Oryzias latipes: one gene and its partner. Each later gene encodes a partner of the first gene's protein in a complex. Links are inferred from orthologs where the notes say so. Each region holds a gene or a part of one and is shown on either strand. Other genes may lie near its edges. The genes, in order: sptlc1 and ORM1-like protein 3.

Evidence for each region.
Region 2: the proteins of sptlc1 (region 1) and ORM1-like protein 3 are in contact, whole or in part, in a cryo-EM structure (PDB 7K0N), measured with the Homo sapiens proteins. The link is inferred for Oryzias latipes from reciprocal best matches to the Homo sapiens genes SPTLC1 and ORMDL3. Residues at the interface, in NP_006406.1 of Homo sapiens: Ala16, Leu17, Ala20, Pro21, Tyr23, His24, Leu27, Glu28, Leu31, Ile32, Trp34, Ile35, Leu38, Leu39, Ser41, Lys42, Thr43, Tyr44, Lys45, Leu46, Gln47; in NP_001307730.1 of Homo sapiens: Gly92, Val93, Gln94, Phe95, Thr96, Ala97, Lys100, Thr103, Ile104, Ile107, Tyr110, Phe111, Ser114, Tyr119, Gln121, Phe124, Thr128, Leu131, Met132, Leu139, Pro140, His143.

Annotation. Positions count from the first base shown.
Region 1 is NC_019870.2:27,659,938-27,668,009, reverse strand, and holds the start of sptlc1 (serine palmitoyltransferase 1), read left to right. Parts: upstream 1-3,258; 5' UTR 3,259-3,307; coding exon 3,308-3,361; intron 3,362-5,456; coding exon 5,457-5,567; intron 5,568-5,640; coding exon 5,641-5,735; intron 5,736-6,759; coding exon 6,760-6,853; intron 6,854-6,930; coding exon 6,931-7,003; intron 7,004-8,072. UniProt on the Homo sapiens protein: Component of the serine palmitoyltransferase multisubunit enzyme (SPT) that catalyzes the initial and rate-limiting step in sphingolipid biosynthesis by condensing L-serine and activated acyl-CoA (most commonly palmitoyl-CoA) to form long-chain bases.
Region 2 is NC_019877.2:18,587,529-18,595,339, reverse strand, and holds the start of ORM1-like protein 3, read left to right. Parts: upstream 1-2,970; 5' UTR 2,971-3,276; exon of another isoform or gene 3,277-3,277; intron 3,278-3,956; 5' UTR 3,957-4,005; coding exon 4,006-4,179; intron 4,180-4,277; coding exon 4,278-4,429; intron 4,430-5,535; coding exon 5,536-5,671; 3' UTR 5,672-7,811. UniProt on the Homo sapiens protein: Plays an essential role in the homeostatic regulation of sphingolipid de novo biosynthesis by modulating the activity of the serine palmitoyltransferase (SPT) in response to ceramide levels.

The DNA of each region.
Region 1 (8,072 bases):
ACAGTGCGCTGAAGCTTTTGTCTTCAATGATTTGTGATCTTCACTGGTGTCCATGCATTACATGAAATCTTTCCACCTTTATCCACCTTTGTCATGGTAGGGAGAACACGTCAATGCAAGGGTAGGGTCATCTGGACCCCATAAGATAGCACAAGGGGTTAGAATGTTCCCTTTGGATTCTTTGGATGTGGAAAAACAACAGCTGGCTGAACTTTAGGAAACTAAAATGTGAATGGATTGGACATTTATTCTAGTTTTCTTGTTTGTTTGGACACATATTTCATTTCCACTTGATTATCTTGAAGAAATCTGGAAAACTTCACTTGTTCAGTACCAGGTATTTTTCTCGGAGTCACACTGGTTTTGACTAAACATGTCACGGATCGATCTTACATCAATGAATCGGATCATTCAAGATGAACGAATATCAAGAATCAGATCGTCAACCACACATTAGGATATGAATAAATACTAACAACTAACTTCTTTCTCCCCATAAACTCTGGTTAGATACTTAAAAATATCATCATCTAAACTGAAGTCTAGAGCATTCTGGAAACCGGTTTAAATTTCAGGAGTGCTTTGCATCCAGCGGTTATGCAGGCATCTCCATAGCTATTCTTCAGAATCTCTTTAAAACCCGTTAGGATTTATTGGCCCAAAGTGTTTTCTTTGCCGGCTGTCCTCCAGTAAGTCTTAGAACGTGGGAATTAGAGGCTGATGATCGGTGAACGCTGCAGGATCTAAACATCACAGATAAGACAAGTAAAAACTGACTTCATTTGAAAGTCAGTGTTCTGTCAGTGACTGAGGTTGGATACTGATGTTTCAGACTGCCCCCTGCTGGTGACAAAGCAAACAACAAGCCTACAACAGCATAGCCAGCGGCAACGTCAGGTCACTGGAAAGAGTCTTGATTTGATTTGATTTTGATTTATTGATATATGTCAAGCATTGTAGTCAAAGCAATAAAGAATTGACACTTATTTATCAAAGTCATTACAGAAATGATGAAATGCATAGATTAAAAAGACAGAAAATAAAACAAAACCAAAAAGTCACTTAAATCACGTTTGCTTAATTAAATACAGTGATCATTAACTAAAGTCAAGTAGAGCTTGATTTATTGCTTGAAAAGGAGCGGGAAGAAGCAAACGTATATAATCCCACCCCTACTGAGTAAATTCATTTTACAATTTTACTGTTGTAATTAAAATAGCTTTGATTATTTCACCACCATCAAGTTCATGTATTTGGAATTATTCCTTAACTCGACTTATCTTTATATCATGAGATCAGAGTTTCTTTATACCTTTTTCTTGAATATCTGAACATTGTTTGAGCTCATTACTGAACCCGTTCCAAAGTTTAGTGCCACACACCGACACACAGAAACTTTTCTTTATGGTTCTTATCAGTTTGATCTTGAAGTTCCTACATCCTTCATTTTCTAAGTACTGTTTCTGGATATTGAATGGTAACGAAGTCTTCCACTGTTCTTTGTATAGCGGGTTAAGAAAATGAATGAATGGATTATTTAGGGCTGTCTTGATGATCCAGCCTCCTTCAGCAGATGGTGCTGGTGCTTCTCAGCATCTACAGCAGATTGCCATGTTGGATAGCGGCCTCTGCCGGCGATTATTGCCCGATCATATAGTTTACATGCATGCCACATGCACTGCGCTGGCCTGTGAGGAGAAACTCAGATCTGATGTCTGCAAATGCATCCAAACATGTCTGTTCAGACGCGCCTTCCGCTTGTTGGCAGCCCGCCATGACCTGCGACCTCACAGCTCAAGGCTCGGTCTTTTCATGCACCTTGTTTGTTTGTATAGAACTGTTGTGAGAAAACTTACAATGGCTTATCTTGGAGACATGTTCGTTGCTCCAGGTATGAAAAAATATATAAAAAAGGATGTGAAAATAAAGGAATTTGATTTTTTTTTTCTTCTTTCCCATTCAGGCATAGGTTTGAACAGAGCGAACTGGGGCTGGCCCATCACTTTCCACCTACAGGAACAAGAAGGAACAATTTTATTCTGCTGCAACTCATTCTTTCGAAAGGGACCAAAATATGGACGTTACCTGTTAAAGCATCTTTCAGATCAAAGACACCACACATGCTTAGTGTATGGTTTGAAGTCAAATATGTGAACCTTTTCAGCATATCTCTTTAGGGGTCACCACAGCTAATCAGCTTTTACTGATTTGTACAGGTGTTACAGCAAAGATTTAGACTCCAGTTGTCTTTCCTGACAGAACACTGTATTTTATCCAGGCTGGGGACCGGCACAGGGGGACAAAGACCTTTGGCTGCAATATTAACATGAAGGTGCTCGCCCAAGGACCCGCACTGGGGGAGGTTCATTGTGCCATTTGGGAAGCCAACCCGGTCTTATACCCAGCCAACTGAGCCACCTAGCTGTTTGATAGGAAATGCTGTCATTAAAGTCCCACTTCAATCATCTTTGGATCTGTTGTAAAAGTGTTCCCGGTGGTCTTTTAATCATGATGATGTCATTTCTAGCCAAAATTTTAAAAAAAAAACAGTGTCGTTTTCTGGGATATAGTTTGAGATGTGGTTGAGATGTATTCCAGATGTGGGTGGGGCTGTTGGCCCTGAGCAACCCCATCCCTGTTACTGAGAGCTCTCTGTTAACACCCTCTGCCGATAGCTTACAGCCCGTTCCACCCCCAACCTAACATTAGAGGTGCAACAAAAATGGAGATCAATGTCAGATCTATCCAGTCATACAGTCTTGGGCCAGATGCCAGCTACGAAAGGAAAATGAAGACATACACGGATATGTTTGTCTGCAAGTGGACCAATCAGAATGGAGCAGAGCAGGGAGCTTGTGGCCCCCAAGCGAATTTTCTACATCACAAATATGATCTTTTTCAAGCTGCATTTTCTTGTCTGCTCCTGATTCACAATAATTTGCATAAAGAAATGCTCAGCTTTAAAACTTTTCTTAACAGATGTCCTCCGTCATAAGAAAAATGCCACAAAAACATGTTAAAAACACCAAAAACACCATTTTCATCAGAATAGGGTTACATGCAACCCACTAATTTACCTTCTAATTCTTTCAGTATTTTGGATTTTAAAGTGAATTTCGGCAGGTGCAAATCTGCTTAAAAATTCAGTTCAGCTGAACAAAACAAGTCGGATTCCGAATTTTAACAAACTAAAATGGAACTAATTAAATGTACATTAAAATGACCGAGGATTTGATGGGAATTGTTTGACATTCCAGCTGGACCCTGAACGCAGCATGACGATGACATCACAGAAGGCGGAAGCGTCATGGCGGCCGGGCAGCAGTGGGTGCTGGTGGAGATGGTTCAGGCCTTCTACGAGGTATGGTGGGACCCCCGCTCCGACGGTAGGGAGGGAGGGAGGGAGGGGGGTCTTTCTTCAGCACCTGGACCGTTCTTCACTGCTAGCTTAAGGAAACGATGTTTGGGCGCGCGCGGCTGGTGTTCTCCGGGGGTCCTCCGGGGGCGGAGCATCAGGGCTCCGCGTGCGGAAGGGTGGAGGGGGACTCTGTTACCCTTAAGTGTACAACAACCCCTCTCATTTCTGTGCCTCTGAGTTAAGTTAGTTAGTATGAGTTGTTTTCGGTGGGTTAACCTAACTTGAGTGAACTCGCTTTGGGTTCATCTATCCCGGGTGAAGATAGTGTCGTTTTTGTTTAGATTAATTTCTCCCAGTTTTATCAACAGTCAGGCACCAGAGAGGCTGGTCAGGGTTAGATTAGTTACTCTGAGACAGAAGACAAATCCTCAGTGATTCTCCATGGCAACAGGTCAATAGATGGAGCAGGACTGTGCCTGTGGAGTCACTGTTTCTAAAGACCCACTCCAATGAAAATGTGTTTAACGTTTCCTTTTCGCATTTGTCTCATGATGTATTTAGAAAACTAAGATTAAAATTTGATTATTAGTTTATCCGGTTCATAACTTTTATCAGACAGACTTAAGAATCCTGAAGAATCAATAAAGCACCTGACAAAGACGAATTACTTATTACGTAAAACTATCTTAGAAATCAACATAGCACATGCAGGCCAGTTATCTAACATATGTGCAGATTATGTTTACTGAGAAATCATGACTATAATTAAAAATAACAGACAGAAACACTGTTTCAGAAATCTTCATAGCAAATCCAGATCAAGTATCAAAACTTAAAAATACATGTGCAGATTATTTTTCATTAGAAAAAAATGCTGAATCAATTGTTGGAGCAAGTGAAGTGATATAATTAGAGATCAATCACTTTAATCATCTCCAATAATTGATTAAGTTTTTTTTTTTTAATTATAATTATAAGGTAATAATAAGGGTCCATATTCTGACCACCGTCCAAGGTTGGTATTCGTTTTTCTGTTGCCCGATTGACAGCCGTCCTGGTTTTAATAGAGTTTATAAGTTCTCTTCGCTGTTATGTCTGCAGGCCTTGTTATGGTCCGTGTCCTTCTACAGCTTTAATCAGCGCAGCTGAAAGTTTTCTCGAATCGTCGTGACCGTGGAGCAGAAGAAATGCACAGTTTGAAAAAGCTTCTGGGTGGTAAATGGCGTGTACTACTACCTCAGTCATCCTTCTACACACCAATATTACTGCCCATTTGTGTTGCACCTCTAATGTTGGGTTGGGGTTGTGAAGGGCAGTTCTGGCCACAACTCGGAGGTGAATTTCTAATGAACTCCTGCCGCCCTGCAGAAACTATGTCGTAGAAAACAACACAGGTACTACAATTATACTAGGTCTATACCTAAAGTGAGGCAGTATACTACAAGTATCAGTATGCAGTAAGTATTCCTACTACACTACACGTTCATGGTCTATAGTCTCTACCTGCTACACTTGTACTCATGGATACTCCGTAAAATAAAGTATACTACTTTTTGCTAAGGGTTGTGTGTAGATTCCCCCCCCAACATAATAAAATTGCTGCTGAAACAGCTTTAATTAAATATGAGAGCAGCGTTCATTAGGATTTGATCTGAAAGATCAATTATTTCATCCGACCATTGTCCCAGCTTCTGTTGGGTGAAGGCGGGGTTCACACCCCCCACAGGTCGCCAGTCTGCTGCCGGTCACTCACGCATTCACACCTGGGGAGACATGGAGTAACCGGTTAACCGATGAAGCAGGATTAAAATAATGTTACCATCACATAAAAGCCAATCAATCCGATGGTTCAGAGCTTGAACACAGAAAATCTTGCCTCAGAATAAATGTTACAATGTTTATGCTCAGTTTCCTTTTAGGAGCTGAAGGAGGTCAGATCAGAGGCTCCGCCCACTCACTCCTCAGTTAGGCTGAATCATTTCCGGGTCCGATCCAGTCGGCCACGACTGCTGACCATTATTCCAGAAAGGTGTTCAGGTGTTCATAGGTGGTGTGCTCCTCTGCTGGGGTCCTTCATCCTCTGCTCTCTGGGCTCCAGGCTCCTGCGTATCACCTGATTCTAGAGGGGATCCTGATCCTGTGGATCGTCAGACTCCTTTTTTTCTCCAAGACCTACAAACCGCACGAGACCTACAAACTCACCGAGAAGGTAGCCTCGCCTGTGCGCACGCTCCACCACAGATCCTGAGTTTGCGGGTGGCTGACATCCTCTGTGTTTTCAGGAAAAAGAAGATCTGATCGAGGAATGGCAGCCGGAGCCTCTGGTTCCTCCAGTTTCCAAAGATCACCCTTCGCTCAACTACGACGTGGTCACAGGGTAAAAACTCCAGGGGGCGCTCCTCCGCTGCGCTCGCTACACATGCATCAGCAGGTCCAGAGCCCTCCTGCGGCATCAAACCAGCAGATGTGAAGTGTGTTCCTGTCGTTGGATCTGTCTTCTCTGCACACGTTTCCAGAGCCTCACCAAGCTCCAAATCCAGGCAGAAGCAGCTTCACATCACGCTCTGTGCGTCTTTTTGTTCGCCTTAATAATGCCGCGTGTGCACGTGCTGCCTTTGAACGTGCATGTTCGGATTCCTCGCGCCTGTAGCAGCTGTCCTCAGACCTGACTTAAAAGTGCAGCACATCAAGCCGACCAATCCCAGCTGCCGATGTCCGACCACACCCCTTTTCTTGCTGAAGCTTTTCCTCTGTGCTGGCCTCCATCATTGCTGGATCTCACAGAGATGTGCACAGAGATGTGCACGGTCTGGACTGAGATGTTTCCGCTCCGTGTCTCGTTCAGGCTCATGTAGGAGAGAATTAGGCCGAATCCGAATTCTTCCTCTACCGCTACGGCTTCTCCCCACCCCCTACAAACGGAGTACCAAACGGAGAGTTATTCAAAAACAACGTCTTCTAATTCAGACGTCACTCCCACTCGATGATGTCATCAATAGTCGCCGGTCACCCGCATTAGCAAGTAGCTTCCAGTGCCCGGAAAAGCCATGCAAAAACAAAAGGGCCTTACTTACAGTCATTACTCCAAATGCCCCTTACCGTTGGAGGGATAGGGGAAGAATTCAGATTCGGCCCTAGCAGCTCTCCAGCTTTCTCTGAGAAAACCCTGAAGTAGAAGATCCACGGTCCTGTTCCAGATATTCAGCGTCCCACAAACGGCGCCCGCTGATTCCCTCAGAAACTCTGAGGAGATCCAGAGGAGATCCACGTGCCACATTGTACAGAGTTCATGTCTTTGAATGTTCTCCTCAATCATCTCAGGGTTTTAAGGGTTTCCATGCCTGCAGCATTAAACTGAATATGTTACCATTGACAGTCAAATTGTCATATTTTTATTGCAGACCCCCCAGCCACAAAATCATCATTAATGGCAAAGAGTGCACCAACTTTGCATCTTTTAACTTCCTGGGCCTCCTGGACAGCGACCGTGTAAAGGTCCGAACTTTGCTGAAGCTTCTGCCCCCCGATGGGAACGTTGGAATGATTTTTTTTCCCCCCCTGACTCGTTTCAGGACAAGGCTTTGGCATCCCTGAAAAAGTACGGCGTGGGCACGTGTGGCCCCAGAGGCTTCTACGGGACCTTCGGTGAGTGTGCGGTTCCTGCAGTCTGCCTCACGCGGTGACGGTTCTGGTGACGGCAGATCAGGCAGTAACATCACCTGTTTCTCCAGAGAGGGGGAGGCAGCAGGAGGAGCTGTTTGGTTCTGCAGGAGAAAGCAGATTCTCATAGTCCCACCCCCATCATCGTTTGATCTGTTGTCAAAGCGTCCCCAGTGCTTTTTTATTATTAATATACCGTTTTTTGCCCCCCCCAAAAAAAGAAAACATGTTGTTTTCGAGGACCTACGTTATGTACGAATTCCTTCCCTACTCACTATAAACTATATATACTATATAGTATTTATAGTTCGTTTACCGTTTTCTAGAGCTGTCTGAATCTACAATTCCAAAATTTTGTGTCTAGAAATTTCCCAGAAGTCTTTGCGAAAAACCAGTGTGCATTGATGCTCACTAGAATTCAGACCACAATGCATTGCATCGGAGCAATTTTTACCAAGAAAATGTATTTAAACGTATTTTTTTATAAACCATCAACGTTTTTATCTTCAGAAGACAGTGGACTCATAAATAATCGTCACAAAACGCTCATGTTCATTAGATTTTAACTTTGTGAAATTGATGACGTCATATCAACGGTTTAATAAAAAAGTAGTAAACATGGTGTCCGAATTGCTATTAAAATCCAGGGCACTACATAGAGCCGCACTATATAGTTTTTAGTGGTTAGGGTGGGAATTCGCCATAGTTTCTGTTTGCGACTCTTGGTTTGGAGTAAGCCCATCCGCACTTCCAATCATCCACCTGTTAACATGCTCTCCGGCTAGCTTACAGCCTCTCACGCTCCCAACCTAAGAGTAGTGGTGCAGCAAAAATGGCAGCAGTATCAGAAAACTTAAAAAAACACCAAAAGCACCACTTTTATCTGAGTGGGTCTTTAAAAATAACTTCTGACTGTCAAAAGGTGAACGATTCATCATTTGATTGACAGGGAAGTTCAGACCTTTCTGGTCTTAACTGACAGACAAACACAGAATAAAATAATTAGATTTCTGAGTCCCTCAGTTTGTGGAGGGGTTTCTCTGTTTTTGCGGCG
Region 2 (7,811 bases), on another chromosome or scaffold:
CTATGAACATACAAGTCCACTGTCAAGAAGCTAAAGCTATTTGATGCCACGGTACGCAGACGTACCTTTAGAAACAGTCCATGTCGTGTAACATTTCATGCAAGTGGGCCTGTGGGCCTTAATTACTATTTAAACTTATCTTGTGATGTCAAACATGACACTGTTGATCTCTGATTTGGGGAGCATAGTGAGTTAGTGCCTCTAGCAGGAGCTGCTCTGTCTGTAGCTGCATGTTTAGCCAGGAGCGTCCTGTTGCAGGAGCATTGAGGTCCTGCTCAGTTTGATGCAGTAGTAGAGTTAGTGGTTTATGTCCTCAGTGAGAAAAATGTTGTTTGTAGCGCCTGGCAAGATTTAGCATTTGTGCTAACAGCAAGAGATTGACAGCAGGTATGGCCTTAGTCACAACTGCCTTTACGGGTGGATACGGGCTGTCTGCGGTTGAAAAACGGGCAAACCTATATGGGGCACACAGATGGCCTGCGGGAGATATCAAAGTCGAATATCCCTCGGTGATCCTGTAAAGCGAAAATGTCCATGCACATTATTTTCTACAGGCATGCTGTGGGCGAACAAGTGGAAGCAAACACTGAAATAACACGAGTTAGCAATACTATGTACACACCAGGCATTTGACATGCATATGGTGTTCACACTGGACTGTCACTACCCGATACTAGCTCAGGTACCTACAGACTTGACAAAAATGTCAAAGTGGTGCAAATCTTGCTCCAGTTTTTATATATGAAAGAATTGGTGTCATATATTGCGCCTGGGCACAAACTGTAATTGTTAATTACTCCTCCATGATCAACGTTCAAATGGTTGGCAATCACTTTAACTGAAAGGGATGCAACCCATACATCACAACCAAATCCACATCCTTTATTGGTCAAAGTTTAACTAGTTTAATTTTCTATTGGCATTCAGTGGCCACACGGTTTGTAGGTAGAGCCCAAAAAAATGAACATAAAACTTGTGCAGCAATGCATAAATGCAAGAGTTTTGAATGCGGAAGCCAAAACGCACATATACGCAAAAGCTCTCTGTTTGTTGCCACCAGGTTTGGCTGAACACTAAACTATTTTCAAAAATATATCAATAAAACATATCCGCAAGTTAATTTTGGACCATGAGGCTCACCGATCACCTATCACTCAAATTCCTGACAAGGTTCTTTGCTTTTCTGAAAAATGGTTGTTGGAGGGGTCTATAAAGTTGTTACATCTTTCAACAAAGTCATCTATAGGGCAACAGTGACTGTGTCTAGTTTTGATAACCTTAATTTTTCAAAAGGAAGACAAACGCTTGATACCTTGACAGAGCTAATCTCTATCAGGCGTCTGAGAAAACTGCGTTTTCCATAGTGAATGTGTTATAAAAGAGATTAATTCAGTTCAGTGACTCAATATAAACTGTTAGATCTTACAAAACAAAGTTCAGCAGAAGTTCATCTCTTGGATATTCATTATAAATGATCTGTTTTTCATCATTTATCAACTTCTATCAAACCATATCTTGACCCACCCTCTTGCCCAATCATAAATGAGCTGTCAATTTTAAAAATCTTCTCTTTCTTTACACTCATTTATTGCAGAACAGGGGAAAAAATCCACCTCCTTTTCAACTCCACACAGACACTGCGTCACTAAACGGTCTGAAGTCTTAGGAAAGTTCATCTTAAATTTACGTCATCATAACCAGAGCAGCTTTGGGCACCCCCGCCTCAAGTCCCTCTCAGGATTCATACGAATAAAGGTAATTGTAAATTTGAGCCTTCTGTCTTTCATTTAATCTGACTGAAAGAAAAAGTACACAGTCTCAGTGTTTGAAACAGAGTAGACCATTAGGCTTCCAGTTAAAAGTAGGTTGTGGCCTGACCACCCCTCCCATCTCCAGCTCATAGGAGAAAATGAGGCTCAGGAGTCCTAATATGACTTCCACATTGTCGTGTTTGTTTTCTCGTATGCTAACAAAAATCTCTTACTGGTGGAGATGATTGTCTTTAATAGTTTGACATTTCTTAGTGAGTGAAACCTAGTAAACAAGGTTCACATATTTCAGCCCACATCCACTTCATTTTAGACGTTGAATGGGCTTCCAACAACGCAGCCACAATTCTGAACTCAAGTACTAAAAGAATTTAAAAATATCAGGTGAAAGAAATTGCATCTCATTCAGTTATGGCATTTTATGCAAACATATTAATAAATTCAATTTAATTTTTATTTATATATCCCAACATTACAACAAAAGTAATCTCATTGGGCTTTCTGATAAACATAAAATCATAAAGAACATGAAGTCATACAGCTTAATAGGTAATGGTTAACTAAACTAAACAGACTAACTAAACTGGGCCATATAAAAAAAAAACTTTATTAATCAGACAACATGAACGTTGATTTGATTATTTTCCATAGCTCCTAAAAAAGCAAATAATAATAAATACTAAACAATAAATTATTTTATTGCTTCTGTGTATTAGTCTTATTTGATTGCTTGAAATAAACCATTTAAAATCAAATCAAAATGACAATAAAAGATAAGTGTCCAGTGTTTATGAGGAGTTGTGGAGCCAAATAACTTACAGAAAATAAGTCAATGGATTTTTTTTCTTTTTTTCATTGGTTGCTTTGACTTTTTTTTTATTTTTTCACAGCTTATTTAGACCTTCTTTTAGACTAAATTAAAGTGTTCATGTTTTCCATTACTGGAAATAAAATAAAAGTTGCTCTGTTTCATGCCTGTACTTTACTTTTTTACTAGTTTTTTGTTTTTTATCTGTGTTTCAAAAAAAAAATCTAATTTGAAAAATTCCTTTTTATTTAAAAACTTCCCTACTTTAATGAACGATCTGTTTGTTTGTTAAAGCTGCTTCTAAATGTCAATCATTTTGTTAAGCGCCTCCTCCTCTATGACGCAGGGGGCGTGGTTTACTTCTTTCATCAGCTCAGCCCGTGGCAGGCTAGTTTTTATCACATGACCTTTTACAGCCAATAGCAGCAAAATGCGATCAAAAACTGTGGCAATGAAAGTGGATATCGCTGACGTTTCTTTGTGGCGTGTGCGGTGTTTTCACCAGCTGTTGGCTAGAGGAGCGAGTAAAAGTTGAAGCAGTCTCGGTAGCTTGCGTCCCAGTGAGCGGACGGTTACAGTATGACCACCAAAGCAGGGACGGGAAGATGGCGTTAACGACGGCAGTGGACCAGCGCGTGCACCGGTTACACAACTAGCGGATCGCTTTACACAAGCTGAGATAACGGACTGTTGTCCTCAGGTACGAGTTAAAAACATCAACTTACACCTTAATTTTTCTCAGCTATAATTTGCATAAATGGACATACTTTAAGTTCGCTTCTTTAGAGGTTTTATTGCAGTTCATTTTGTCTCGAGTTTGGACAAGTTAGTGAATAACGTTCTACCACCTTGTTTATTAAATATTTGCAGTTTTTAGCGGCATATATATTCTCTTTTTTACTGCTTTATTTTTTAAATATTATATATATAATTTAAATATTTAGTGTATAAATTTTCTATCTTTCTATTTGTGTTTTTTGCGAACAAAAAAACAGGTAATTTTTGCAGGTGGCTGGCTAGGGTGCACTAGTTGGACATTTTTATTTTGTTTTTATTCTTAAAGCTTTTCGACATTAATATTAGCTGTTTTCTTTAATGTTTTGCTGGGATTTTTTAAAAGAAAAAATCAAAAAATCGTGTTTCAAACATGTTCTGGTAGCATTTTTCTCATGGTGGAGGACATATATATTAAAGAAAATTAAGATTAAACTTACATTTCTGAATATTTCTTGATTTAAATCGGTACCAATCAGATGCAGACGAAAAATACTGTTTGAAAAAACAAAAGACAAGCCACAAGCTCCCTGCTCCGCTCCATTCCGATGCATTCGCTTGCAGACAAACAGATCCGTGAACGTCTTTGTTTTTCTCCTGTGAACTAGTATCTGGCTAAAAAGTCTACGGCTGGGTAGCAGCAGTATTGGCATCATGAACGTGGGGACGGCACACAGCGAGGTGAACCCGAACACCCGGGTGATGAACAGCAGGGGCATGTGGCTTTCCTACACTCTTAGCATCGGCCTCCTTCATCTCATCCTTCTCAGCATCCCTTTTGTCAGCGTCCCAGTTGTCTGGACCCTCACCAACATGATCCACAATCTGGTGAGTGAAGCCAAAAATATCTACCATAGAAGCCAAAACTGGCATTTTTTTGAGTAGGACATGAAAGTTAACTTTGTGGTTTTTTTTCTCTTTTGCAGTGCATGTATCTGCTCCTTCACACAGTCAAAGGGACGCCCTTCCAGACGCCAGATCAGGGCAAAGCTCGCCTCCTCACACACTGGGAGCAGATGGACTACGGTGTGCAGTTCACTGCGTCCCGCAAGTTCCTCACTGTCACACCTATTGTCTTGTAAGTAGTTTGAGAACGCGTCTCGTTTTTAAGCAATGTTCACACCGCCCTAGGCAATGCATGTTCAAGTGGCCACTTCCTAATAAGTCTTTTGTAAACGCGCATTTCACGGCTTTCTTGCATTCCGGCGAAGCTACGCAAGCTTTTACGACCGTTTTCGGGCTCTATGTATAAAACAAGTCCCCATTGAACACACATTGTAAGTTAAACCAGTTTGTACTTTGACCAATCAGGGACTTGGATTTGGTAGTGGCGTATTGGTGGCCCAGGATTGACGGAAAAACTGCCGGAAGCGCGATGAAACTCACCAAACTTGGAGTGTAGGCGGTTTATCTGGTCTGATTTGATTTCAAATAAAGATAGACCAAGGCCACTCTCGCATATCTGTTTTGCAATTACGCTAGCAATAAACCAAATCATTCAATGCCCAAATCGCAAGATTTACACCACCTTGACATTTTGCACCAAGCCTCTTCCAACTTTAGTTGGCGGACATGCGCTAGTAAATGTGGAAAAAGAAGAAGCCTTTCCCAGTGTGTCCAGTGTGAAGCACGTTCTTGAGCGCATGTGTATGTAGCTTTAAGGTTGAAAGTAGAACCACAGGAGTTTGTTTGAAATGGAACCCGAGCTCCTTTTAAGCTTTTAGTTTCAGGTTTACATTTACAAATATGCTCACAATCACAGCTTTTCTCTTATTTTCCTCACAAGCCTTCGAACTTGTTAGGGGCCTCATGGTTTTCGGGAACACCTCCCCCTGCTTTCCTGGCTTGTTTTTTTATTAACCCAGAGTTCAGGTTACAGACGGGTCTTTACTTCTCTGGGGTTCATTTGCCAGTTGAGAGTAAAAGCTGTGACGGCAGTGTTTCCCCTGAACTTCATTTGGATTGACTGATTTTGAAACGTGTTCTCACATGTCAGCTCAGAAATATTCACCTCCTGTGTTTGTACTCAAACATATAAGGATTGTGTGGGATGATGGTTTGATCTTGTTTGTGGTTTTTGTGAGAAGGAAAAGCTCTAAAGGGACGTTAATGGGTATTTTCCCTAAAGAGGATAACCTGTCTTAACATTTTATTCTCCTTCTCTTTTCTTTACCTCTGATGCAGGTATTTGTTAACCAGCTTCTACACGAAATACGACCGAGTCCATTTTGTGGTCAACACCGTTTCCTTGCTCACTGTGCTCATCCCTAAGCTGCCGCAGCTCCACGGCGTCAGAATTTTTGGGATTAACAAATACTGACAGAATGGAGACGGACTCCTCTTCACTTTTTTCCTGGTACAGCAAAGAGCACTCGCAGTTCCTTCTGCAGTCTTCTGGAACACAGCTCTCTGAAGGAACTCCCAGGAGGATTCTGCCATGGTTCCTAACCCTCGCTAGAGACACTGTACTGCACAGAAGCAAACAGGGAAGTTTCATGACTCTGATCTGTAATCTTGGATTCGCCTGCATGTTTGTTTTTTAATTGAAAGGGAATTTATCTTAGATTAACAGTATCAAAGGTGGGCGACTGTAGTTGTATTCTTATTTTATTTATTCAGCTTCCTTCCTATGTGCAGCTGGCTCCTGGGTTTGGGATTGAAGGAAGGAGAGCAGTAACGTTTGAAATGATCAGGGAGCTGCGAACCGCCACAGAGGCCAGACTCCACGAACCACAGCGGTTTATATTTAGCTTTCTCTGCTCAGGGTCAGGAATAAAACCTTACCCAACTCTTGCAATTATGTGCCCGTTTCCATATTGGGACATCTTGTCCTTCTTTGACCTGTTTGCAAAATAGTCTGGCTCTTGTTAAGAATGTGAGGGAAAAAGTTCTTGACTGAAAAGATTTCCAAACTGCTCAGCAATAAACTGAACAATAGATGTGTTCAGAAATCACTACCAATCATGTTTTGTTATTTAGGATTAATAAATGTAATTTTATTTTCTAAATCTCTCATTAGAGATTCACCAATTTCAAACTCTATTTTTATTTTTTTTATTTCTGATCCGTTTATTGGGAGTTATGGCCACTTTGTCACTCCTTATCCTAATAAATCACTTCCCACTGTTTGCAAATTAAAACAAAAAACAAATCTTGCAGCTCTTGAAAAATAAATAGTTCTCAGTCTTGATTGCTTTATTATCTATTTGTGATTAATGGAGAAGACTTTTTTTTTAAACCGCCATATCCTGGATTGAAGCTGAGGTGGGTGGAGCAAACTCTGGTTCATGTGCCCAACCCACTTCAACCTTAGCTCTTGCTTTTTTTAAATCCCTTGGTTGACGTTCTTGATGTGTCCAGTTTAGACATGCCTATGAACCCAGCATCAACAGAGGGCTTTATGCCACTGCATTACGGTCAATATGCTTTTATAATCTGACGGGTAATCCATGAAGGAAGTGAGCTGATTCCATCACGGTTCGATTCTTTCATAAATCTTCCCGTCGTTGTTCCTACTCAGCTGCTTCCTGCGTTACAATTACTCCATAGGATGTTTTTGTGACCAAAGAGAAAAGTTTTTCCTAAATCAGGCAGGAAAAGAGGAAAGGTCATCGTTAAATATCCACATGACAACCTGGAATATTTTTGCAGTGAGTGATGTTCACATCTGCTTTGAATCTGTGGGCACAGACCGTACAAACATAGATGTTTACAGACTCTGCACACTTTAAAGATGGTCCCCTCAACTCTGTTTGTTGTAAAGTCCCATAAGCTGCTGTTTAAGCTTGGCAGAGACCATAAAGCTGTCCACTATTAATGCCTCCTCTGAACCATGGCTTCATTTCTACAGAGATATTTCTGCAACCAAATATTACGACGCTTTTAACGCAACAATTTTAAATCCCACTGACTCACCCCTTAAATCAGAGACTGGGGGAAAATGGCGTATTTGATCAAACTGCATTAAAATGCTACTTTTTTTTGTAATTTAAAAAAATAACAGCAATTTAAGTCACTTTGATGAGTTTATTCTAAGTTATGGGGTATCTGCCATCAGTAAATAATTTATAAACTAAATTTATTTTTGTTAAAGAGCTTTATCTGCAGCTCACCTCTCTCTGAAAAAGGACAATTGATCAATTCCACCCCCAAAAGTGATTGGTGCATCCCTAATTGACATTTTCATAGGATAAAGTCTACTTTAACTAAATGTAAGAAAACTTCTGTTTTATTCCTAAAAACCTGCTTGAATGCTTAAAATGATCTGTTATCTTTTAGGACCTTTTATAATACAAAACAGCCCTTCAGGAAAATCCCTGGGAGCAAACAGACGAGGCTTTGTAGCAATGCTGGAATTTTCCAGTACAGGAACGGTTGTGATAAACAGATTAGCCAGAACCAAAAAAACTATTTGACTTTACTATAACAGGGTACCTTTAATGAGTCTTCTTAGGATTTGG